Arabidopsis thaliana: one gene and its partners. The protein of the gene in region 2 interacts with the protein of the main gene of each other region in a pairwise test. Each region holds a gene or a part of one and is shown on either strand. Other genes may lie near its edges. The genes, in order: AXR3, MOS6, FER1 and SHY2.

The links.
Region 1: the proteins of MOS6 (region 2) and AXR3 interact in binary tests that used the Arabidopsis thaliana proteins (3 or more experiments, as listed by UniProt).
Region 3: the proteins of MOS6 (region 2) and FER1 interact in binary tests that used the Arabidopsis thaliana proteins (3 or more experiments, as listed by UniProt).
Region 4: the proteins of MOS6 (region 2) and SHY2 interact in binary tests that used the Arabidopsis thaliana proteins (3 or more experiments, as listed by UniProt).

What each region holds. Positions count from the first base shown.
Region 1 is NC_003070.9:1,134,273-1,139,190, reverse strand, and holds AXR3 (AUX/IAA transcriptional regulator family protein), read right to left. Parts: upstream 3,114-4,918; 5' UTR 2,810-3,113; coding exon 2,571-2,809; intron 2,258-2,570; coding exon 2,046-2,257; intron 1,732-2,045; coding exon 1,593-1,731; intron 1,452-1,592; coding exon 1,390-1,451; intron 889-1,389; coding exon 851-888; 3' UTR 528-850; downstream 1-527. UniProt on the Arabidopsis thaliana protein: Aux/IAA proteins are short-lived transcriptional factors that function as repressors of early auxin response genes at low auxin concentrations.
Region 2 is NC_003075.7:950,028-955,704, forward strand, and holds MOS6 (ARM repeat superfamily protein), read right to left. Parts: upstream 3,664-5,677; 5' UTR 3,576-3,663; coding exon 3,360-3,575; intron 2,988-3,359; coding exon 2,888-2,987; intron 2,798-2,887; coding exon 2,706-2,797; intron 2,603-2,705; coding exon 2,471-2,602; intron 2,345-2,470; coding exon 2,159-2,344; intron 2,069-2,158; coding exon 1,905-2,068; intron 1,818-1,904; coding exon 1,739-1,817; intron 1,665-1,738; coding exon 1,536-1,664; intron 1,446-1,535; coding exon 1,318-1,445; coding exon of another isoform or gene 1,314-1,317; exon of another isoform or gene 1,227-1,313; coding exon 857-1,226; 3' UTR 519-856; downstream 1-518. Other genes in the region: AT4G02140 (uncharacterized protein), read right to left, coding at 58-213; AT4G02160 (cotton fiber protein), read right to left, coding at 5,074-5,625. UniProt on the Arabidopsis thaliana protein: Binds to conventional NLS motifs and mediates nuclear protein import across the nuclear envelope. Acts as a cellular receptor for the nuclear import of the virD2 protein of Agrobacterium, but is not essential for Agrobacterium-mediated root transformation.
Region 3 is NC_003076.8:227,416-231,650, reverse strand, and holds FER1 (ferretin 1), read left to right. Parts: upstream 1-1,599; 5' UTR 1,600-2,056; coding exon 2,057-2,364; exon of another isoform or gene 2,365-2,388; intron 2,389-2,453; coding exon 2,454-2,537; intron 2,538-2,649; coding exon 2,650-2,710; intron 2,711-2,810; coding exon 2,811-2,898; intron 2,899-2,999; coding exon 3,000-3,061; intron 3,062-3,156; coding exon 3,157-3,222; intron 3,223-3,315; coding exon 3,316-3,379; intron 3,380-3,467; coding exon 3,468-3,502; 3' UTR 3,503-3,698; downstream 3,699-4,235. Other genes in the region: AT5G01610 (hypothetical protein (Protein of unknown function, DUF538)), read right to left, coding at 1-27, 112-166, 490-576.
Region 4 is NC_003070.9:1,127,591-1,131,228, forward strand, and holds SHY2 (AUX/IAA transcriptional regulator family protein), read right to left. Parts: upstream 2,100-3,638; 5' UTR 2,030-2,099; coding exon 1,545-2,029; intron 1,463-1,544; coding exon 1,154-1,462; exon of another isoform or gene 1,050-1,153; coding exon 974-1,049; 3' UTR 559-973; downstream 1-558. Other genes in the region: AT1G04230 (rRNA-processing EFG1-like protein (DUF2361)), read left to right, coding at 1-83, 233-238. UniProt on the Arabidopsis thaliana protein: Aux/IAA proteins are short-lived transcriptional factors that function as repressors of early auxin response genes at low auxin concentrations.

The DNA of each region.
Region 1 (4,918 bases), on a different chromosome or scaffold from region 2:
ATTCCATATTTCTAGTGGTTTTTCATTTTTCATTATAGAGAGGATATTTGTGTATAATTATGATAACCTTGTTAATAAATTTAGTTGGTATAAAAGTTAATATTCCTAATTAATTTAATGGGAAATTAAATGATAAACAAAGGTAATGAAATGAAGAGACCCATGAATATGCACATGGCATTGCTCCCTCTCTTCCCTATGGGTCCTATTTCTCTATTTTATTTCCTCCAACCAAAGCCAATTATCACTTTAAGTACCAACAAATCAATATACCAACAAAGTGAATTTTCCCCATTTTTGTAATTATATTCATCTGATATAACATATGTATATTGTAATATTGTAATTCTAATTATACCGACTTCGAAATTATACTTGGGGAAAGTTTACTTTAGGGTCAAATACTCGATCGCTATGATCTTTAGTTTCACTTTCAAGACGAACCAAAAGAATACTGTTCTGCCTTTAGAAAATAACTGACTATTAAGAGACTGAAATTAAAGAGAAGTAATGTGAGATTAAATTTTCCATAGTGGAATAAAAATCACATATTCCTTATACGAATATACACATCTTTGGCAAAATAAATAAATAAAGACAAACATATACATAGGAATAGGATGTTCAAATTATTACACATTTTCCATTACAAATGTCTCAAATATTTAACTTAAGTTCATTACACATAATAGCATACAAACTATATCTACATACCAAATCCAGATCAAAACACAGACAATCAAAAGAAACTGAACAATGTATTTCATCGTAAGAAAAAAAAGAGCAATTAACACCAATCAATGTGTTAATCAAATATATAATCGATACCACTTATCCTTTTAATTTGACTTCAAGCTCTGCTCTTGCACTTCTCCATCGCCCTCGGAGCTGAAATATTTTTACAATTAATAAGCAAAGACATTTGACCACGGTATTTATTCTGTTAAAAGAGTATATTTTTTATTCCCTCTGTTATTTAATCTCTTTCTTTTTTTGCATTTGACAAAAGAGAATCAAATATCATGTATTATATCAATGATTTAAAAGATCAAAGCGATAAGTTTTCTTTCGACAAATTTGTTCTTTACGGTAGAAATATAATTGTGCGAAAAATAATGAACGGTTTAAGCGTTTGATGATTAGACATCATCTTAAACGATAGCATATTAAATTATTTAGGCGACCAAGTTATGCGGTTGAGGTGTACATTATAGTAAACTTTTAAGCTCTTTTGTAAGTTTTTTTTTTCTTTTTGGGGCAAATCTCTTTTGTAAGCTATTTTAACTATATTGTATACATATACACGTAAATTTTAATTTAAATGGGTAACAAACTGAAATCAAAATTTAATCAATGTGAATATAATATGCATTGGTAGAAAATACATACCGAGACCAATGGCATCCGATCCTTTCATGAGACGTAAACGCTTGCATGTATCGACGAACATTCTAATAAATAAAAAGATTAAAACAAATGGTTATTTATTAGAAACAAATAAATGACATAAACAAAAATAAAGCTCGAATTTTAACCGAAACAATAAAGCTCTAATTAAATGGTAATTAATAAGGGAGAAGAAGAAGACGTACGGCCAAGGAACGTCGCCGACGAGCATCCAATCACCGTCTTTGTCTTCATAAGAGGGAACATAGTCCCAGCTATTCACCAAATCCATCAATTTCCTCTCATTCATGAAGTCTATCATTCCTTCTTCTCCTCCATGTTTGCCTAAAATAATCTTAGGTATAAGAACTTGATATCCTGAATTTAAACTTGGTGGTTTTCTTTTATGGTGCAACAAATGAAATATACATTTTTCGCAATTGGATTTTATCACATAGTTTTCTTTTCACAGTTTCTAAACTACTACTAACGGGTTACTCAATTATGAAATATTTGTATACTCGATAACGGTAATTCATTTGGGACTGATCTATCATCATGATGATTAATTTTTCTTTCTATAGTAACAATTAATTAGTAACTAAATGTGCATGGAAGGATCTACATATATATATAAGGAATATACTTATAAAACGTACCCATGGTAAAAGAGCTGAACATGTTGGACAAAGCATTAGAAAGCTCATCGTAGCTTTTATACATCCTCAAATCGATTTTCCTCAAGTACGGTGCTCCGTCCATTGATACCTTCACGAACGCCGCCGCCTCCGGGCCACCGCTTGATTTTTGGCAGGAAACCATCACGTTCTTCCGGTATGATCTCACCGGTGGCCATCCCACAACTTGTGCCCTATATTTTTTTTAAAACGGAAAAACGGTTATGTTATACAAGATATAGACTGTAGTTAGCTTTGACGTGATGTCACATAAATTTTACTTGCATGAGACTATGGGTTAAACATAATTAAATATATTAAGACATTGGACGATTTAAGAAGAGAAAAAAACCGTAGACATATGATAAAATGGTTTTGGCGAAGAAAAATATATATCTTTAATGAAATTTCTGTTTTTTTTTGCAGTCACCTTTACAAAAATGTTAATATTAAGAGCAGTAGAGAAGAGTGGAAAATAAATCATAAAGGACAAAATAGTAAAATTACTTGGCCGGAGGTTTGGCTGGATCTTTAGGACAAGCACTCTTCTCCTTGGAATCAAAAGTCACGACGTCATGAGTCGTAGATCCTTCCTTGTTTGCAGGCTCATTATTCAGATTTAGCTTCAGATCAACCGTCTCTGAGAACCCTCTCTTGTTTCCGGTTACCGGAGCCACTGTATCTCCACCGGGAAGACCAAGACACAGCTCAGTCTCCCTCAGATTCAGCTCGACACTGCCCATCATTATTAACCTTTCTTCTTCTTTGGTGTTCTTCTTCTTGGGAAGGTGATGAGGAAGATGGAAAAATGGTTTTATAAAAACACTCAAATAATACAAAGTGAGATGAGTCTGTATTATATCTCTGTCTAGGAGGTAGCTGCATGTGTATGTCGTATTTAAGAGATCTTTGATTAAACGGGTTTTAGACACGTGGATGAATCTAAGCCCTTTGATTAAGTCATCATCCTCGAGTTTTAGTCTTTTAGACTAATCAGTAATCACTGTTATTACTCTATTACTGTTATTGAATCTTTCTTATGATTTATCTTGTAGATTATGTATATATTATTGCATTTGACTATACAAAATGGATATATATTTTAATCCGTCTTTAATCGTTTTTCTCCCGTTAAAAGAGATATATAACATTTTGAGATTACAAGCGAAAGCACAAGTGAAGGAAAGATTTTAAAATTACAAGTGAATTATGAAACACATTCGAAGCAACCAAGTGAATTAAGTGGTGATGAACCGATTAATTGATATGGGGTATCTAACTAAATATATGTATATACCATATGGTCTTAAAAACTATATCAACGTATAGTTTATAAATATATATTCTTTTGAGTGGCGAGGTCGCAGACATCTCATATGAGAGTGTTACAATAGAGATGTACATTATTATTAATATAACTATATTATGCTTTTTGACTTCTAAATATAATTATTAACTAATGAATATATATTCATGATTTTGATTATTTTTCCCCGTAAGATTCTTCGCCGGAACCTTCCAATTATGCATATCACATCCACATGATTCAATTATTCATCCCACAATAAAAGCGCAGCCCTCTTGTATATAATTATTCTCATGCCAATACAAAATAAAGCATACGGTACATCTTCAATATTTATTGATTAAAAACTCACCTATAAACACGTACAGCGAAATGTGTATCTAGACACATAAAAACGCATCATTACTCTTTAATGTTTATACTTTGTAGTTAACAAACTATAAATTGCAATATTATAAACACCACTTTGTAGTTAACAATAAAATTGGTGATTAATTTTCTTTACAGATATTTACAGATTAAATTGACTACTAAAATATAATGTCTGTTTTTGATTATTGAAAATTATTTTTCTTCTTTTATATTGCTTGTGTTATTCTTGTAGTATGAAAGTTTTCAACAATAGGGTAGTTTTTTTTTTTTTTTGTAGTTATGAAAGCACCTAAATTTGTATTACATTTTCTATTAATTTGTCTATATTATCGCATTTCTAAACAAAAAAACAAATTCTGTCGCACTTCCAAAACATATTTTGTTTTTATTTCATCAATCACGCTTCCAAAAACAAAAATGATATGTTTTGGAATTGTATTTTCACGGCGCTTTTGCGAATTTTCAAACTTTCGTTCAAAATTCGACTTTAGTGATCTACTAGACACTGGTTTTAGTTCAAAGTAATCAGTTAGGCGTAAACTGTGAATACGGGACGTTTAAATAACACCAAGCGTACTAACCATAATTAACCAACGTAAATTCAATAAATATGAAAATAAAGAGGGAAAAAGGCATATTCCTACCCTAATAAAATCTATGAGAGGGGACATGAGTGGCATCAAAATCCAAAGGAAGAGAGGGTACAATTAACATCACCATAAATTCCAAAGCCAAAATTTAAATTAATGAGAAGAAGAAAAACATGGAGATGATAAAGGGACAAGTTACATCAAATAAAATTCAGGGGCGAAAACATCTTAAACCCTACTTTTGTTCCTTGCCTTGTCTACATCCTCCTCTTTAACCCTTTTCTCTCCTTTTGTTTCTATCCCAAAAAACTCTCATGAGTTTTCAAATCAACGTACCCCAAATTTTTCAATCGAATTTTGGGTCACTTTGTCTTATATATCACATCATTTTGTCGTGTTTTATCAATGTGTATCTACTTTGTCTGATCAATATATATATCTACTGATCACTATGGAATTCACATGAAATTGTAAACCAGTGAATAATATAAATTCTCGGTCCAGCCTACATGATTACAAAAAAATGCGCCCGCACACATAAATGGATTGTATGCGAAACTTTAATGAGATTGAACCAATGCAACCAA
Region 2 (5,677 bases):
AGTTGTGACTTGTGACAGCTAAGCTTGACATATATAAACAACAAAGTCAAAATATACCTCGGGGTCTGATGGAAAAAGACTAGGCTCGTCTCCATCGTTACGGGCATGAATCTCTGGATCAGCGGTTCGACCAGTAGAAGAAGATAGTCTCTTCGCATGAAGACGACGACCGAGAGTAGAACGTGCTGCAGCAAAAGCTGGTGAAGACAGCATTATATCTGGCTATGTTGTTGTTCTTGTTGTCTGTTGGATATAAAACAATGAGAGTGTTTTAAATACACGAATTAGTCACATAGCCTAAACCCTAATTTCTCGCATATAGAAATTATGACCATGATAATAACCACTTAATCACCACTAATCTCTCCTATTTGTAATTAGACACCAAAGTACCCAATAAAAACTCCACATGCGTATATTGCTCTTGAAGTTTTGACCGTTGCCTCAAACCTCCACAAGCGTATATTACTATTTCTAGCTTCTCTGTTTTCTAAAATTGCGAGTAAAAATGATTAACTATTGAATAAAAATGTTTCTGGTTTAGTTAAGGCATAACTACGATTTTGTAATGGCACTAATATATGAAAAAAGGGAACTTTGTTGAAAGACGAGATGATGGCTAACACAGAATAATTGTTTCTCTTCCCCAAATGATTTAGTTATTGAGACAAACTTCCAAAAAGAAAAGAAAATCGTACTATGTTTCTTCATAGTTCATGTCCACGAGTTAAGGAGTGGGCATGAAGAGATAGAGAAGATTGATATTTCATCTTTGTGATGTTACCACTTTCGTTCGATATGTGGCTTACTTAAAAGTCCAAGCAACTTCTATGACCCAATTCAACTATTTTACCTTTCAAATAAAGTTGAATTGACCAGGAGGAACATTGGTGCTTCCGAACTGGAAACCAGATTGTGGAGCATGATTCTCGTCGTTGCCTTCTTCTTCATTGTCTTCAGTCCAAAATGTTTCGAGGATCTTCACGGCTTTGTCGTAGATATCATTGTTGTCGTGACTCTGAAGATTCTCAATCTTCTCTAACCCTTCTGCTTCGTCAATCATTTGAGCGTAGAGGTTGTCTTCTCCTGTGTGACCTAAGTTCTTCTCTGCTTCTCCAACCACGAGAATGTTCTCTAGTGCTTCTAAGCAAACCGTTACAACTTTCAGATCTGGGCAAGTAAGGAGATCGCATAGAGGTTTGATACAGCCTTGGCTCACCATAAACCTGAGAAGAAACAAACAATAAACACAGACGTGTTTTAGAAATGACCATTCTTTGTTAAGGAAACATTTCGTTTCGGTTTTTATGGTTTTACTTGATTTGATCATGAGTGCCACCAGAAGTAGCATTTGATATTCCCCAAGCAGCTTCTTTTTTTACTTCGAACTCTGCACTTTGAAGCACCCAAACAAGAGACTGGATTATACCTGCATCAATCACTGCCTGCACATACGGGTTCGAATAAAATCAGACACAGGAAACTTCAATTTTCGACTTTCTTGTTAAATGCCATATATTATAAACAAAACTCACTTGTATCTGATCTGCATTTCCAGCTGTAATGTTGGAGATAGTCCAGCAAGCTTCCTTCTTGATACTCTTCTTGTAATTGTTTTTTAGAAGGTTCAAAAGACAAGGAAGCGCTTGCTGGTCGAGAACCATCTGTGTTAGGAAAATAAGTTAGAGACATTTGCTTCTGAAAACTCGAAATCGAATGGTGAATGTATTATATGCACCTGAGTCTGTAGATCATCCCCGGTTACAATATTTCCAATGGTACGAAGAGCAGGAATCAGCACTGATGGCGACGAATGACTATACGGAGAAAGAGGAAGCACATAAATCAGATAACATAATCATGCCTGGCAATAAAAATTAAAATGATCACTATCAGATGCTTACCCTAAGAGCTGGATGAGGCGAGGAACAACTCCTGCTTCAATGACTGCTTGTATTTTGTCGTTTGAATTATCCGAGAGGTATGACAGAGCCCAGCATGCATCTGTGAGAACTTCTTCATCCATTGATTGCACAAGGCGCTCAAGAACTGGTAAAGCTGGTTGTGTCTGCTCGAAAAATGTTTTAAGTAACAAAATATCAGAAGCATGTTAAAAAATATTGTGGAGATTCAATAAAGTGTGTATATTTAAGGAAACCTGTTCAAATGCGGGTGGGGGCTTCCCTCTGCAGAAGTTTGATAATGTCCATGTAGCATTTCTCAGCATTGAAAGCTTTGTATTCTCATTGAATTGAGACAGAAGAGGTGTCATGGCACCGTAACTTAGGACTAAATCCCGGCATTTTGGTGAGTCTCCAGCAACATTTCCCAATGCCCAAACAGCCTATACTCAGTCAGGGAAAGACCAGAACTCAGAATGGTAACAGTCTCAATGAATTTCCACTTGATCCTAATGTCTAAGTGTTTCTTCTGTGACAATAACGATAACAGTGAGGATTTAAACATATACCTGTTCGCGGACATCTTCACTAGCAGAGCTGAGAAGTTGGATGAATATCGGGACAGCTCCACTTTCAATGATGACATTTGTGTTCTCTGATGTCCCTGAAGCAATGTTGGTGAGCGCCCAAGCTGCCTCAAACTAAAACACATTGCAGAAGTAAACAGCAAAAGCAAGTTAACAAATACATCAAACTAGTAACTATCAATATATCCAAAAAAAAACGACTGCAGCTGCGACTCACCTGAAGTTTGGGGAAGTCATCCCTGGAAAGAAACTTCACAACACGAGGAACAACACCAGATTGTACAACTTCATTGATAGGAGGATTTTGTTCTACAAAAGAAAAAACAACTGCTAAAGACTCTAACCAAAACACTGATTGTTATGTACTACTAGTAACGATCAATAACATAAATCACAAACCAATAGAAAGCAGTTTCCGCAAGAGATTTGTTGCCTCCAATTGTGAATTGCTATCCTCTGACCAGATTCCAGCAACCATAGCAGGTAGATTATCTTTTAACTGTAACACGAAGAGACACTATCATAGTCAAAAATCTCCTCTAGCTAAAGTAAATTTGATGATCTCCGTTGAGATATCAACCCTAATTCTCTTTACATGTCAAATTCAACACCGCTCAAATTCCCAGTCAATTAAACAGACATTAGTAACAAATACTCTCACCAAACAACACATACACATCGCAAGTTTTTGCAATCAAATACAAAATCTATGACCAAAAACAAAGAAACATCGCAAGAACTTCAAATCTAGAACAAATCGATCTCCAATTAGAAATTCATATGAAACAGAGACGATCTAATTGATCAAATCGGAACATAAAATCAGAAAAAACTAAAGGTGGAATCGTAAACAAAAGAAAGAATCACATACTTGGTTCGCTGAAGAAAGATCCTGTTCCGTTTGTCCCGTTGCTGAGCCAAAAGCCATAGAAGACGTAAATCTCTTCTTCTGCAAATTTTCCTCTCTCTTGTTCTTCCTGATCTCAACCAAGTTATCCTCTCGCCTCCGCCGTCCTTCCTCCGCATCGACCGCTACTTTGTACCGATTCCGTCGCACCTCCGTCTTCGCGCTAGGTCTGAGAGACATCGCCGCTAAAATCGAATCGAAATCGGAAGAGAATTAACGATCGGAAGATTATTTAAACACGCCAAGTTCGATTAATGAGAGAGTGATAAGGGTTTTGGAGTTTGATGCGAGTGTATTTATACAAGAGCGTGTACTTAGGAGGCCACGATTCAGGAGACTTGTTGTTAATCCAATATTGCCCCTAAGTTTTATCATTAATAACGAACCTGCCACTCATATTTTTTTTCTTTTTTGAAATTTGAATCTTAACGTCTCTCTGCCTTTTTAGGTATGTATACACCGACTACTAATTATGGATTTGTTTTCCTTTATTTTCTCCACGCAAATATTCTTTTCTTTTTCTGCAGCAGCAATACTCTAATTTGAAGAGGCTTTTTAAAGCCCAAATAAATTATTACATAGGCCAAACTTGGCTAAAACAACGTAATTTACAAGACTGTACTCTAATTAAAAGGGGTAAAAAGATCAATGTGAGCAACTGAGCATTATGAGAACTTTACTAATTAGATGCTTTACTATTCAATGCATCTTGGAAAGACGAGAACAACCATATTGCTTGAATTCCTTTCAAATGAGAGAACAACTAAATTGATTTCTTTCTATTTGTGCCATCTTATAAACTTGAGTGAACGACCTCTATTCCCCTACGCAGTTTCACATAGTACCACAACTACACAGATTTAGAACTTCGTTTACAGTCAACACAAAATAGAAGGTAAATTATTATATCCTCCTAAATCGAAAGTTAGAGAATTTAGTCTCCACAAAACCAAATTTTGTAGTTTATTATTAGGTTAACGTCATAAACCTAATGCCAAACCAAAAATCTAGTATAATAAACCGAATTGCAACCGATTCAATTTACTCTCCACATCATAAACTTCTAATCTCTCTTCTTTAGCTTCCATGTCTCTGATTTTCTCTTCAAGCAAATTGGATTCTCAAACCAATAGGAAAATTCTAAATTATATTGGATTGTACCCATAAGTGAATTATAAACTTCTACTTAACTCATTATTGGGTTTTTGGTTCAAAAGAAAAAAAAGAAAAAAACGAATTGCTTGAAATATGACAACAACAAAGGCTTGTAGCTCAGAGTCATGTATATGACACCCTAGGAAAACTGCCAAAGAAGCTCAGAGTCATGTATATAATTTGCGTACAAATTCATCATCTACTATATCACTCACAAGAAGCTAGCTGCAATTTGGTTCTAGCATTATGACTTGAAGATGATATATAGTAAACCAAAATGACATCAGTTTTATAAATATATTTTAATATAGTTTGCGTACAAATTCATCGTCTACTATAAAAGTATACAATCAAGACTAACTGAATACAATATATATATCATTACTTAAATCATCGAAATAATAGACGAAAAAAAAAAATCATCGAAATAATCAAAGACAAACTCTGTGCACGTCTCCATGCATATATGTATACTCATGTAATATGACATTATGCTTCAGTGAATAGAATTACAATGTGCGATTTAGACCATCATCATCTCTTTAGCTTTGTAACGTTCTGTATAAGCCTGATTTTGCATCCTCATCTGTTCATAAAATCTCACAATAAACTCCTCAGCTTTCGCATCAATCATCTCATCACCTCCATCATCATTACCATAATTTTCATCATCATCATCATCTTCATCAAGACAATCCATATCTCGCAACGACTTTGCTGATCCATATCCCGAGATTCCCGAAGAGCAAGAACTAGACGTCGCCGTGAGAACCTCAACCATCTCCGATACCTGATCGTCACTACTCGCCGGAACTTCATCCGTCACCGGAGAAGATGATGGTGGTAGTATCGTAATATTAGACGACGATGGAAGTACCGTAACATTGTCGTTTTTCAACTGCCCAAAGGACTCGACAACTCGCCGCCAAAACCCGTTATTAAGCGGCTTGCTCCTCCTCCGACGCCGAAGCATGTATAAAACGACACCGATCACGTGAAAACCACGTGATCGTTTCTTCTTCTTCATATTCTTGATCTCTTCTTGGCCACCATTAATCTGATTTTGAATTTCCATATATAAGAATTAATGGTGATCAAAAGGATATTCAAGATGGGGAGACTTTTCC
Region 3 (4,235 bases), on a different chromosome or scaffold from region 2:
ACTCAGGCAACGGCTTCTGCATTTTCCCTGTCAACATGATGACAAATGGGGAATTTCAAAAAAACAAAAAATTGAAAGATGCAGTCAGAAGAAGAATAAAAAAAAGCAAACCTTTGATTTTGTTGACCAACCATTTTGTTCCTCCTTCAATGCTCGTTGACACCGACTGGCATAAACAAAAACATTGTTTTATATGTTAGAAAAGATCACAGTTTCAAACAAAATAATCTAACCACATGAGCAAGAAGAGAAGACATTATAGGATCATATATTTGAATCATTTCTTAAGATATCATGGTTTTGGTAATTAGATGTTCTTCCTTATGTGACGTGATTTACCTAACAATGAACTCAAAACATTCGTACAACTGCATGATACCAAAATTACGATAAAGGTGGTTGATTATATCGGAACCACGTCAATAGATCAAAATCGATTAGGAAAACAGATGAATCAGATTCTATAGGATGGGTCAAAAAAAGACGTACGTTGAGATCGTTGCCGACGGAGTCAAACTGCTTGTTAGCCTTTTGGCCTAACCAGTAGGATCCAACCTTGTTGAAGATCTGATCCATATTCTCTCGAGAAAGGATAGAGAAGATTTTGAGAAAACGAAGGACGACTTTCTTTCTTTTTCTTCCGGGAAAGAATTTTGGGAACCCACCACTCTCGCACCGTTGGATTCGTTATTTGTGCACTATTCCTGCAGCCAATTAACTTATGACATGTGGCAAATACATAAACACCAATATATTTATTGAAGCAAGCAGGCAGCATTATACTGTACAAATTACAAAAAAAAGTACTTGCCTATCACTCCTCCTTGGGACTGACTATCTATCTATTGGGCCTTCAATGAAAATCAGATTAAATAGGTGCAACACAACTTGGGAACTGAAGAACCACATGGCACAAAACAGAGTAAAATTAAAGACTACAATCAATCCTTTTTTTTTGCCATTCCTCCCATGATTTTACTTGTCTATTAGACGAACCTCAGCTAAATTTGTAATTACAGTCGAAAATATTATTAAGCTCTTTAACACTTTTATAGCCTACCCTTGTCTTTGTGCATTCCAGAGTAATACGAATCGATTCAAATCAAGCCAATAAAATAAAACCAAGCCTAACTACACTTTATTTAATGCTTAATTTTTGTCCTTGCCAACATTACAACTTTTTAGAAAAACCATTTGATATGATTTTTTAACTTGGGCCGTGACATTACTAATGAGGCCCACAATGTACTTACTCCGACGTGTAATTGTCTCCGATAAAGACAAGGAACCATTTGGAACCTCTCACGCGCTTTAGCTGGAAATTACGTGGAGTTGAGCTACTCGCGACTCTATCCTATGTATAATTGTATATCAGTTTTCCGTCTCCATCAAATATCCTAGAGAGCCACGAATTTTTCCTTCTTTGTTGTAAATTATGAATATTAGGCCACATAATACGGAAAGTCTTAAAGGGTTTGGACCATTCTCAATCTTATGTTCTAGTAGCTTGATGATTTTTTATAAAAACAATATGGAAATACTTTTATCTCTATCCGATTTCCTATGTCAATATGTGTCACAGGATTTTACACGTCTAACTTATGTTGGAAACGCTATCATCTTTTCTTTTTTTTTTTTTATAGTAAACAATTGTATTTGTTATCATCTACAACTCTAAAAAATACATTTCGAAAAATAGGAGAGAGCGAGTAGGAAATAAGAAAGTGGCAACGCGAGAGTAGGAACCGGAAATGGTAAAAAGATTCTGAGGATAAAAGAGAAAGCAGAGAAACAGACAAACTTTATTTGGAGAGATGTTAACGTGGATCGAATATCCTCACGTTCACACTATCCCATTGGATGTAGCACGAGGCCGCCACACGCCCCTACATCTGGCTTTCATATCCACCCTCCACGTGGATCTCAATCCAACGGTGACCACACGCCTTTTCCCTCTTATATAAACCCTTCCTCCTTCCTCTTTCTTATCATCATCACCATCTCTTACAACAAATCTCAGGCGGCTCAACACTATCCTCTTCTACATTTTCCAACGATGGCCTCAAACGCACTCTCGTCTTTCACCGCCGCTAATCCCGCTCTGTCTCCTAAGCCACTACTCCCTCACGGCTCTGCTTCTCCGTCGGTTTCTCTCGGCTTCTCCAGGAAAGTTGGCGGCGGCAGAGCAGTGGTCGTTGCAGCGGCTACGGTGGACACAAACAACATGCCGATGACCGGAGTCGTGTTCCAGCCTTTCGAAGAGGTGAAGAAAGCCGATCTGGCCATTCCAATCACATCTCATGCCTCTCTCGCTCGCCAGAGGTTTGCCGACGCTAGCGAGGCAGTCATTAATGAGCAAATCAAGTAAGCTTCTCTTTTCTTTTCTGTCTAATTAAAGAAACGAAAATGTTTAAAGATTAGATCTAACGGAGGAGGTTGCTTTCTATTTACAGTGTGGAATACAACGTCTCCTATGTGTACCATTCAATGTACGCATACTTTGACAGAGACAACGTTGCTATGAAGGGACTAGCCAAGTAATTATTACCTTCTAACTCTAATCTTAATCTTATTTATAATAATCTTGATCGTATACTTCAAAATGAGATATATATGTCCATACTAAACATGAGTTTTTATAATCACCAGATTTTTCAAGGAATCAAGTGAGGAAGAGAGAGGGCATGCTGAGAAGTTTATGGAGTACCAGGTTTTCTATTTTTACCTTCTTTTCTGTTTTAGAAAAGTTGATAAAGACTTGTGATTCACTTAGTTAATATTCATATTGTTGGTTTGTTGTCTCTATACAGAACCAAAGAGGAGGAAGAGTGAAACTCCACCCTATCGTCTCACCTATCTCAGAATTCGAACATGCTGAAAAAGGAGATGCTTTATATGGTAAAACTTTAAGCAAATACACTATCTTAATCCTAAAATAACAACTTTTCTTTTTTTTTAAAGATACAGATATTTATTAGTTTACTAATCTTTGTTTTCAGCAATGGAGTTGGCTCTGTCTCTAGAGAAACTCACTAATGAGAAGCTTCTAAACGTTCACAAAGTAAGTTCCCTAACTTATCCATTTGATCATCAAAGATTAAACTTATAGTCATTTTCCTAATACTAACTAACACGTACTTTTGGCCAACAAAACAGGTGGCCTCAGAGAACAATGATCCCCAGTTAGCTGATTTCGTTGAGAGTGAATTTCTGGGAGAGCAGGTAAAAGTTCTTTTGCCTTTGTTCGGATTACAACTAGTGACTTGTATAATCTGTACATGTTCTGACTCAGAATATATTATGGACTATTTCTAGATTGAAGCAATCAAGAAGATCTCAGACTACATCACCCAGCTAAGGATGATCGGCAAAGGCCACGGTACGAATCAAAACCCTATATTGAGATAGTGTTCTCAGACTTGAATGGTATTTCTAAAAGCTTATTTACATTTGTTCTGTCTTTGCAGGAGTTTGGCATTTCGACCAGATGCTTCTGAACTAGACTTGGACCTCTATAAGTTCACTTTCAGATGACCAATGTTGGGGTTAAAACAGAAGAACCCGAAGATTCTGTAAAAGCTTTAGATTGAACATTATGGACTAATAAGATTGTAGTAGTAAGCTTTGTGTTCAAGATGGTTTTTGTAATAACTTCGTAAGCTTAATCAATGAAGTTTTTGTTTTAGTATATTCTAACTAGCTATAAACCTACGGCCAAACAATGCGTAACTAAGAAAATAGTGAAAACTCAGACCTATCTAATTAAACATAGAATATTTATGATCCAACTTGAAAGAGTAAGCATAACGAACCTGTTTATGAAGAACATGTAAAAGAAGCATGAAGCGTATGTCACTTTCCACCGAGAAGGACAAGCTGGTCACTGGGATATAACTGAACAGCAAACAAGAACAAGATCACTGTCACATCAAAGCAAAAGAGATGCTCTTACTTTGATTCCATGTTGAACAGTAGAAAATCATTTCTAACCAAACAAAGACCTGTCTGTTCTACAAAGAGCTGACAAATGTACGAAAATGAGTATCCATAAGAAGTTCATGACGTATGAAAACACCATTAAGCTTTTCATGTACAGATTCTCCCTTAGTGATTTATCTTTTCATCATGGTTCTTCAAACCACTAAGCATTAAGTAAAGATTGAGAATCTTATTTGTATAATGACGAAGAAGTCCCTCGCACGGGAACAATCAAGATTGGATACTTGTATGACCCT
Region 4 (3,638 bases), on a different chromosome or scaffold from region 2:
CAAGTCAGAGTAGCAACTTGAGTTCTAATTCTGATGCTCACAAACCCAAGAGGAAGAGAAGGCCTAAGAAGAAGAAGCTACAGGTGAGTTTTCTCTCGACTCTTTCCTGGAATTCTGTTTCGTACTTTTGTTGAAAGTCTTATTGGTACATTTGCATCAATCTTTCAAACTCTATAACTAAAGAATCTGCATTTTACAAGCTGATTATATATTATTCGTTTTGCTGTTTCAGGCGTGAACAAGGTCTCTCCCGCCATGTCTGAGAAAACGAAGAAGCTCGTAACACAGTTCATCAATTCCAAAAGCTTCACTCATTACTACGGCCTGTCTAGTCTTACATCTTCTGATTGGATCTAATGCGTATATATATGTTGCCATGAAAGCAGAGAGGTAGGTGTCTGTTGTTTTTGGCTGATGAAATGAACCCTAAGCTTTGGGCAAAACGTATTTCTCATATAAGATAAGTTTTTTTTTTGTTTCTATTGATTTATGTTCATGTTGGCTTTGATCGAATTGTATTAATTAATGGGAGTAATCCAACCTCGACCATCAATAATATGATCTAAGAACTAGTGAACCAAAATAGAAAATGGGTATTGCTTGAAAATCTCTTTGATCAATGAGAACGCAAAACAGAATTGCTACAAATATAAAAACAACTCTTCAATCTTCATAACACTTTAATTAATGTAATACACATAACCAAAGATTTAAGGACAACCTTTTGCCCTGTTTCTGAAACAAAATGTAATTAGGTTCCAGTTTCATATGCTTAAGACCATTAAGCATGTTTACATTTGAATTTTACCGATGAGGTAAATAAAGGCTATGAATTGGATTCAATCCAATGAACATAGATCTTGCCCGAGAAACCCGACAACCCAAGCACAGACAGAGATTTCTCTGAACCAAAAGAAACTCTATTTTTCTTCAAGTTCTTTTGTGTCTCTGTTAGATTTCTTGAAGATATATCTCATACACCACAGCCTAAACCTTTGGCTTCTGATCCTTTCATGATCCTTAGTCTCTTGCACGTACATATGAACATCCTGCAACAACAAACAGAACCCATAAGAACACTTACAAAATTGTTGTTTCTGATTTTTGATTTTGTGGAAATTGTTTTCAGACAGGTATATGAAAGAAGACTTACTCCCATGGAACATCACCAATGAGCATCCAATCACCATCTTTGTCTTCATAAGTAGGCACAAAGTCTGAACCTTTATATCCATCTCTCTCAAAGTACTCTCCCACAGAGAATTTGAACATCACTTCTAAAGCTTTAAGCAACTCTGAGTATCCTTTGTAACAACTCAGATCTATTTTCCTCAAGTATGGTGCACCATCCATACTTACTTTCACATAGATTCCTTGACCCTCATGCTCAGATTCATTCTTCTTACTCTGAATGTTGTTCTTCCTGTAAGATCTAACTGGTGGCCATCCAACAATCTGAGCCCTGCAAAAAGGAAGAAACACGGTCAATCAACTGAATTCTCCACCACTACAGATTCAGAGACTTTTGTGTGAGTTTAACTTACTTTCGAGGAGGGGATGTTTCAGTTTTCCTTGATGATGATTCAATCTCCTTCTCAGTATCAGTTGATAGTACTCTCTTATTGTTGTTATTACAGCAAGAAACTCTCTCTTTTGCTTCACATACATTATCTGTTCCCGGTAATCCCAGCCTCAGCTCTGTTTCCTTGAGGTTAACAAACTCATCCATTTCTTCAAGAATTGCAGGAGAAGATAAAAAGAAAAGCTTTTGGTTATTATCCTTGAAAGAGAGGAGAGATATAGAGAAGCTGCTGATGATGAAGATGAGAGGCTTCGAGGAAGCTGAGTGTTTTATACAAGTTAAAGGAGAATAAAGATAGATACTGGTAGAGAGAGAAGAAACTGTTTTCTGAATTAAGGACAAAGGAAAAAAAGCTAAGCTTGTCGGTAGCAGTAACAGCAACTTTGAGGCAAAAGTGTGTCCCATCTTCTTGGGGACATTTGTGGGGACACTTTCTTTTTCTCCCATCTGTCCAAACCCAAAAACAAAATATTTTCATCTTTCTTTCTTGTGATAGACGGTCCAGATCAAATCTTCGAATCCCCCACCACATGTGGTATGCCATATGGGCATATCACCTCTCTCTATCTCCCATTAATAACTTATCACAACCAAGAAATTTCGGATCGTAAGCTCATAATCTTTTCTTACCAAGAACAACAACCGAATACATATTTTACTCGTTTTCTCAATAGATGGATGGTTAATTAACTCTATATGTAAAGGTAGCTAGTGTTCAATGTTTGGATTGTGGGTAGTTCAGATTTGATGAGTTTATTGACTTGAGATCATAAGTAATAATTTATGTCTCACATCTTCAAAAAACAGGTACTTTGGGTGTTGAAGAGCCAAAAACAGAGCCTACGTGACAAAATTACTTATTGTTCTTTACTGGGGTTTGTTAAAGCCCACAACTTTTGTCTCTCTGTCTCTAACCTATTAATCATGATCACCACACACACACACACACGTATATATGAATTTGAAATAAAACTGAGCATCACGACAGGACATCTTCCTTAAGGATCAACTAGCACAAGGCTTTAGTTAAATGTCAGTAACATCATAATGGGGTCTTGTAGTTTTGTTTTGGAACCTGAGAGATCTTTAACAGATTCTCGCTGTCTTTGTTTATGTTACAGCGTGGCATTGGTTGTATTCTACTTATATGGAGCTCCTATTGTAGATGTTTACGTCTTTGACATAACCTACTCGAATTGAACCGGATCTAAGTTTTGGCTCCATTTTTTGGTTTTCTCATGCATGGCTTTCGAAATCGAAGTCCGAATCGGTACTATGCAAAGAGTTGTTAAGAACTTATGTTATAACTTTACATTATACGTGTAACAATAATCCTAAAAGAATTTTTTTTTTTTTTTTATCTACATATATACGTACGTAGTGACTTTCAACAAGTACTAACGATTAACGAACATATTTCAACAAAATAAATTCATACAATTAGAGGTGACTGCTAACAGCTACTCAGTACTCATCACGCATTGATTTCTTCTGTACGGTGAGAAACATTCTCTTCTTGGTTCAGTCATAAATTACTAGATTCGTTTTCTTGACAGAACAGGTCATAAGTTTGAATTGAATTAATTGTATTTATACCAAGAAAAACTGATGGGAATATATATATATTTATATCATTATTTGTGAATTGGTCACAATATATAGAAGCATTTGATGACTAATATATGTAATATAAAGTTTGCACACACAAACAAATATAAAGTTTTTCCTAAAAAATTTATTTATAATCCGTCAGTGGAACGTAAGATAAAAAATAAATATAAATTAAATGTTTTGTATTCCCATATATATCTTATCCATAAGGAGTTAAAGACTTTTATTAGGCATGAATATCCGCAGGCTTTTCTCATTCACTATAGTATTATGGCATCATCTTTTATTTTTCTGCACTCATTATATGTCATACTGTAGCATACTTTGCAATTTAATTATATATATAAACGAATTTAGTAACTTATACTGAAAATAAAATGACAATGTCTTAGCTACAACAACTAATCACACAAAAATGATTTGTTTTGGTTTTTTAAAGGATAAA